Linked DNA regions of Macaca mulatta. The protein of the gene in region 1 purifies or fractionates together with the protein of each later gene. This does not show direct contact. Links are inferred from orthologs where the notes say so. Each region holds a gene or a part of one and is shown on either strand. Other genes may lie near its edges. The genes, in order: PTPN7 and MAPK14.

Region 1 (2,759 bases):
CAACAAGAGCAAAACTCTGTCTTAAAAAAAAAAAAACAAACAAACTATTAAATATCACACAATGTGATGAGAGCTGTGATGGGGATATGATGGGGAGCATAGAACCAAGTCTCCTAAGCCAGACTTTGACCAGAGAAGGTTTTCCAAGAGAAAGGCCATCTAAGCCAAGCTAAGACCTGAACGGTGAATTAGCCAAGCGAAGAGAGGGAAGGGAACACATTCCAGGCAGGTGGAACAGCATATGCTAACTAAGGCCCAGAGAAGAAATGTGAAAATGGATACACTGCTGGGAGCAGGGTTACAGGTTGGGCCCAGAGGTTATGTGTGGGGTAATGATGAGAGATGGGTTTGGAAGGCCAGTGAAGGTCAGATGATGAGGGGCCTTGTAGGACTGGCTAAGACACTTGGTTGTAAAATAACACTTTGGCTATAGAGTGAAAAATGGATTGGGCTGGAGTGAGAGGGTATCGTAGGGGATAAGACTAAAGAAAGAGATCATTTGGGAGTGCATATCCTAAATAAAACAGAGCACAGAGGCAAAAAGCATGACACAGGGCCTTCCCAGCCCACCCACAGGTAGCAGTGGGACATGTGCAGGGAGGTCATTAGAGGCTCACGCAAGAGGAACAGGAGGCCTGGGGAGTTTTGAAATAAACAGAGGGCACGATGGAGCAAGCAGAGCAGAGCGGAGAGAAGACTGTGGGAGGGCGCCAAGGTGGGAAACAGAGGGGCCGGGCATGGGCTGCGTGGAAGATGAGTCTGAGCTGAGAGGAAGTCAAGGTTAGATAAGGAGGGCTCAAGGGTCAGCACGCCCACAAGTGGGGAACTGTCTGTTGGAAACTGCTGTAGATGCTCAGCAGAGTGGAGATCATCAAAACGTCCACAGGGACCAGAAGGTGGCCTGCAACAGGCTTACAGTGAGGCTGGTAAGAAATGTAAACTCCTCCCGTGCCAGTTATAACCTGCCTCCAGCAGGGTCCCCAAGGGGACTGGAATCCGAAGTACTCTACCTGCCCCCATCTCCAGAGTCCTATCCCCAAAATACAGCACCTGCAGGTCCCATTTCTTTCTCCATGGTTTGGGGCCTGGCTCTTAGATTCCCTTGTCTCCCATGACCTCCCTGTCCCCTCCCTGGCTATCTTCAGTGCAGGGATTGGCCGGACAGGCTGCTTCATCGCCACGCGAATTGGCTGTCAACAGCTGAAGGCCCGAGGGGAAGTGGACATTCTGGGCATTGTGTGCCAACTGCGGCTAGACAGGTGGGTCTGTGGGTGTAAACAAGGCCAACAACGTTAATGGGGGGCATCAGTGCCTCTGGGCCCCAGAGCCCTGATAGGCCCATCACCATCAAGCACTCCTGCAAGAAAGGAAGAAACCCTTTCTGCTTAGAGCTGTTTATTTTGCAACTAACAACCAGCAAAAAATATCTATCTGGATGGCCGGGCGCGGTGGCTCACACCTGTAATCCCAGCACATTGGCAGGCTGAGGTGGGTGGATCACCTGAGGTCACGAGTTCGAGACCAGCCTCGCCAACATGGTGAAACCCTGTCTCTACTAAAAATACAAAAATTAGCTGGACCTGGTGCGGGCCCTTGTAATCCCAGCTACTCAGGAGGCTAAGGCAGGACAGTTGCTTGAACCCAGGAGGTGGAAGTTGCAGTGAGCCAAGATTGTGCCATTGCACTCCAGCCTGGGTGACACAGCAAGACTCTGTCTCAAAAAAAAAAAAAAAAAAAAAAAAAAGAATATCTATCTGGAAAGTTGGCTTGGAGCCCTGGAATTAAACATGATATGAGGCAACAAGTAGTGCAAAGAAGCTCACTGGGTTGAGGCAGAGCCAGTGTTCAGATTCCAACTTTTGTCTCACTGAGATGTCACTAGATTTCTCTGAGCTCCCATTTCTTTTTTTTTCCTTTCTTTCTTCTTTTTGTAATAATAGAGATGGGGTCTCACTATGTTGCCCAGACTAGTCTCGATCTCCTGGGCTCAACAATGCCCCCTTGGCTTCACAAAGTACTGGGATTACAGGCTTAAGTCACTGTGCCCAGCCCCCACTTCTTTATCTAGAGAGAGATAATGGCTCCTTCCCCCAGAAAACTGTTGTAAGAAATGAGTTAACTTATATGAAAGTGTTTTGGAAATGGAAACTATTATACAAATGTATGGAATCATTATTTTTACTTTTAAGATTATTAGAAAGAAGGAAACTTGAGGCTCAGGAGTATTCCTGGCCCGACTCAAGGCTTCAGAGGTCTGGTTTTGTCCCAGGAGCTGAGTGAATCAAGGAAGACCAAGCGTCAACACGGGGCATCACCCCTCAGCACGTGTAAGGGGCAGAGGACTCCTCTCACAGTAAATCTGAGGGTCAGCAAGGAGGAGTAGCAAGTAGAAAAGATGAATATAGGTGGCGGGGCATGGTGGCTCATATCTGTAATCCTAGCACTTTGGAAGGCCAAGATGGGCCAATCACTTGAGGTCGGGAGTTCAAGACCACCCTGGGCAACATGGTGAAACCCTGTTTCTACTAAAAATACAAAAATTAGCTGGGCATGGTGGCAGGCACCTACAGTCCTAGCTACTCAGGAGATTGAGGCAGGAGAACCACTTGAACCCAGGAGGCAGAGGCTGCAGTGAGCCAAGATCATACCACAACTCTCCAGCCTGGGTATCAGAGTGAGACTGTCTCATAAAAAAAAAGAAAAAAAGAAAAAGAAAAGATTAACACAGGCAAAGGAGTTGGCATGTTCTTTGAGAAAGT
Region 2 (4,462 bases), on another chromosome or scaffold:
TTCAAATCTTCAGTGTAATGGTTTTTTAAATGCTTCTCAAAGGGAGATATCAGACTTTCCTGAATCAGAATTACCTAAGATGTATTATAAAAATACATGCTCTTGATGCCTTCCTCTGACCTACCCAATTAGACTCCCTGTGAGTCCTGGGAACTTGCATCTTAAACTCCCAGGGTGATTTTTCTGCATGTAAGTTTAAGAACTATTAGGAGAGTTTGAATGGAAAGCCTCAGCTTTTTTTTTTTTTTTTTTTTTTTTTTTTTTTTTTTTTTTTGAGACGGAGTCTCCTTCTGACGCCAGGCTGGAGTGCAGTGGCGCGATTTTAGCTCACTGCAACCTCCGCCTCCCGGATTCAAGCAATTCTCCTGCCTCAGTCTCCCGAGAAGCTGGAACTACAGGCTCAAGCCACCATGCCCAGCTAATTTTTGTATTTTTCAGTAGAGACGGGGTTTCACCATGTTGGCCAGGATGGTCTCTATCTCTTGACCTCGTGATCCGACCGCCTCGGCCTCCCAAAGTGCTGGGATAACAGGCGTGAGCCACCGCGCCCAGCCCCTGGAAAGCCTCAGCTTTGATGCAGGGTTAACATTTGCCTTTGGGACATATTTCGTCAGCATCTCGAAGAGTAACCCACATGTAGAGTAACCCATATGTCCTTGAGCAGATGGGAATGCAACAGCCTTCTGGCCAGAACCTGTCTCTCACTTTTTTTTTTTTTTTTTTTAATTTGAGACGGAGTTTCGCTTCTGTTTCCCAGGCTGGAGTGCAATGGCGCGATCTCGGCTCACCACAACCTCCACCTCCCGGGTTCAAGCGATTCTCCTGCCTCTGCCTCCCGAGTAGCTGGGACTCCAGGTGCGCGCCACCACGCCCGGCTAATTTTGCATTTTTAGTAGAGACGGGGGTTTCGCCATTTTGGTCAGGCTGGTCTCGAACTCCCGACCTCAGGTGATCCGCCCGCTTCGGCCTCCCAAAATGCTGGGATTACAGGCGTGAGCCACCGCGCCCTGCCACCTATCTCTTTTTCATGCAAGTGTTTTTTGGAATTTGGGGGTTCAGCTGAGCAGGTGCTCCGCTGCTAGTAACTACTCGCAGTTAAAGATCTTTTGACTCTTTCCCCGACACGCTATTTGTCACTGTCGTTTTCCACCACAGAGCCAGGTATTTGCCCTGCCGGCCACGGTGGGGCGCGCGCGGCGTGTGCTGCCCGCTTATCTCTTCCTTCCCTGGTCCGCCTTCGCGCCCTTAAGGAGACAGTTCCTGGGAGTTTCTGCCTTTGGGCTCCAGTTGTTGCTCTCTTCTCGCGAGAACTGCCCCTCTCATCCTCTCCTCTCACGAAGCCCCGCCCGCGAAGAGGTTCCATATTGGGTAAAATCTCGGCTCTCGGAGAGTCCCGGGAGCAGTTCTCGCGAGAGTACTGCGGGAGGCTCCTGTTTGCTGGCTGTGGAACCGCGACCACTGGAGCCTCAGCGGGCGCAGCAGCTGGATCCGGAGTACTGCGACGCAGCTCGGAGTCGGCCTTGTAGGGACGAAGGTGCAGGGAGATCGCGGCAGGCGCAGCCTTGAGCGCCGGAGCGCGTCCCTGCCCTTAGCGGGGCTTGCCCCAGTCGCAGGGGCGCATCCAGCCGCGGCGGCTGACAGCAGCCGCGCGCGCGGGAGTCTGCGGGGTCGCGGCAGCCGCACCTGCGCGGGCGACCAGCGCAAGGTCCCCGCCCGGCTGGGCGGGCAGCAAGGGCCGGGGAGAGGGTGCGGGTGCAGGCGGGGGCCCCATAGGGCCACCTTCTTACCCGGCGACTGCCGCTGGAAAATGTCTCAGGAGAGGCCCACGTTCTACCGGCAGGAGCTGAACAAGACAATCTGGGAGGTGCCCGAGCGTTACCAGAACCTGTCTCCAGTGGGCTCCGGCGCCTATGGCTCTGTGTGGTGAGTGTCGCCGGGCCTGGGGCCGCTGTGGGCAGGGTGGCCCCTCGCGCCCGAGAGCCAGGCCTGCACGACTGCTCTGCGTTGCGTCAAGTGGCAGGAATTTTCCTCGGGGGAGGGCCTTGCTGCCCCTTCGAGCTCTGCCTGTTCTGCACCTCCTGCACCCCTCGCCCTGCACTCACGCGGGTATTGCGGTCCACCGTGTGCAGCGCTCAAGTCCGCTGCGAGAGGTAGGTGGTGGTGCTGGAGCTCGGTTCTGGCTAGCACCCTGCGCCTTCGCCTCTCGGAAGGTTGCTGCTCGGCGGCAGGCACCGGGGGAAGGGCTGCTTCCTTGGGGGTCTCCCTCCGGACCTGGAGCAGAAGGACCCTCTCCCGCGATGCGCCCACGCTGTGGCGCCGGACCCTGTCCTCTGAGCAGACAAGCTTGGGGAGCTGCCGGGAGAAGCAGAAGGGCAGAGCGCAACCCGAAGACTGCGGTCATCTAAACAAAACTGACCAGGAAGGGAGCTCTCTCCGGGCCTTTTTTTTTTTTTTTTTCCCCAAACCTCTGTCGAAATCCCATCTCGAGAAGTGTTCTTTTTGAATTCGCACTTGAATTAGCAGCGATCCATAGAGCTTAAAATACCGACTTTATCTCGGTGAACACTGTGCCAGCTTGAGTGGTGTGTTTCCGATTCGGTTGAAAGCGTATTTCCTTTCTGTGGAGGGGCGGCGGTGGTAGTGCCTGCAAGAACGCTGCAGCTTGAGAAACTGGCAGTCTCACTGATTAGTCACATACCACTGCTCATTTAAGTATTGTTCGACAAAACAGTTTTTTCATTTGGAGCAAGAAAGATTCAGATCTGTAAGGCGCCCTCAAGATCAAAAAATTATTAACAGTGCTAGGAGGTATTGTAAGTATTTTTTGAGATAATTCCTGCGAATACTGTGTTTTAAAAGTCCCTTTCAGAGTTTGCAGGGATTTATCTAGTTATCTGCATTTATGGCCTGAGGTACACGATGGTTTTCGTAAGGATATGGAACCACATAGAAAAGGAAGGGAAGAGATACTTTTTAGCTTTAATTTACACCGTGAGTGTGTTTTAAATTAAGTCGATACCATGTAATTTCCAGACCTGAAATATTTCACTAACTGCTCTCTAATTTTCAAGGTTTTATACCCTGTATTTTAGATTTTCTATAATTTAAAAGCTACGGATCTGAAACTAAATATCAGATTTAACTGTTAGCTTTTTCTGTGTTTTAGTAATTCGTATTGTATGCGTCATTTGAAAAGGGGCCTGTAAAATAGTTTTTTGTTTTGGAACAAATTCCAGGCTTTTGGATGTGTTAATCTTTAAATATGATTTCTGTGTTTCCCAAAGTCACATCATGAATTTCCTGTTTGGTAGAATCTTCTGGGTAATTGAGATTGTGCAATTGTGTCCAGTAACAGATCATATTGCATTTTCTAGTTCAAGCTGCTTAAGTTATGTTGCAGATGGCACCGTGCGTGACATCTTTCTCCCATTTTTACAGCATGGCAGTTTACATTTTAAAGGAATTTGCAGGATTTTACATTCAGAGTGTGTGTGTGTATAGTTGATTTGCAGCATTTTACATTCGATATATACATGTTAATATATGTATATCCATTCAGTATATACATATTATGTATATCTAGTTGATTTGCTAATTTTCAAAGATGTATTTGGATCATTGTTCTTTTAATATTTTATAGCTCATTAATATACTTCCATTTTTTCATTCTTGAATTGACACATTCATTTCTGTAGTATCACGTTTTTGTTTTCAATGCTATTTAAATTTTAATGGAGTGATAACAGCAGAATAACTCATCTATAGAGGGTTTGGGTGAACTCCAGTTGAATTCCTCGCAAAGGTTCAGTACTGTTGGTGACTAGCTCTGCACTGGAACAGGAGATCCAGATTTACAGTGAAGTACCATTAAAATTAACTCCACATTTCTTTAGTGGTATATTTTTCTGTGGTATAAAAGCCAGCAGAGGCCGGGCGCGGTGGCTCAAGCCTGTAATCCCAGCACTTTGGGAGGCTGAGACGGGCGGATCACGAGGTCAGGAGATCGAGAAAGTCCTGGTTAACACGGTGAAACCCCGTCTCTACTAAAAAATACGAAAAAGTAGCCGGGCGAGGTGGCGGGCGCCTGTAGTCCCAGCTAACCGGGAGGCTGAGGCAGGAGAATGGCGTAAACCCGGGAGGCGGAGCTTGCAGCGAGCCAAGATGGCGCCACTGCACTCCAGCCTTGGCGACAGAGCGAGACTCCGTCTCAAAATAAAAAAAAAGCCAGCAGTATCTGACACTTAAAAGTACTTTTATTGAACAGATTTTTAAAAATAGGTAATATATTCACATTGTATAAAATTTGAAAGTTTTAAAAAGGTATTCAGTGGGCCGGGCGCGGTGGCTCAAGCCTGTAATCCCAGTAGTTTGGGAGGCCGAGGCGGGTGGATCAGGAGATCCGGAGATCGAGACCATCTTGGCTAATACAGTGAAACCCCATCTCTACTAAAAATACAAAAAA

The links.
Region 2: the proteins of PTPN7 (region 1) and MAPK14 purify together in Homo sapiens (affinity purification with mass spectrometry; 3 studies listed by BioGRID and IntAct, with this or other methods). This does not show direct contact. The link is inferred for Macaca mulatta from reciprocal best matches to the Homo sapiens genes PTPN7 and MAPK14.

The regions. Positions count from the first base shown.
Region 1 is NC_133406.1:59,817,429-59,820,187, reverse strand, and holds part of PTPN7 (tyrosine-protein phosphatase non-receptor type 7), read left to right. Parts: intron 1-1,096; coding exon 1,097-1,259; intron 1,260-2,759. UniProt on the Homo sapiens protein: Protein phosphatase that acts preferentially on tyrosine-phosphorylated MAPK1. Plays a role in the regulation of T and B-lymphocyte development and signal transduction.
Region 2 is NC_133409.1:146,226,455-146,230,916, reverse strand, and holds the start of MAPK14 (mitogen-activated protein kinase 14), read left to right. Parts: upstream 1-1,457; 5' UTR 1,458-1,807; coding exon 1,808-1,923; exon of another isoform or gene 1,924-2,150; intron 2,151-4,462. UniProt on the Homo sapiens protein: Serine/threonine kinase which acts as an essential component of the MAP kinase signal transduction pathway.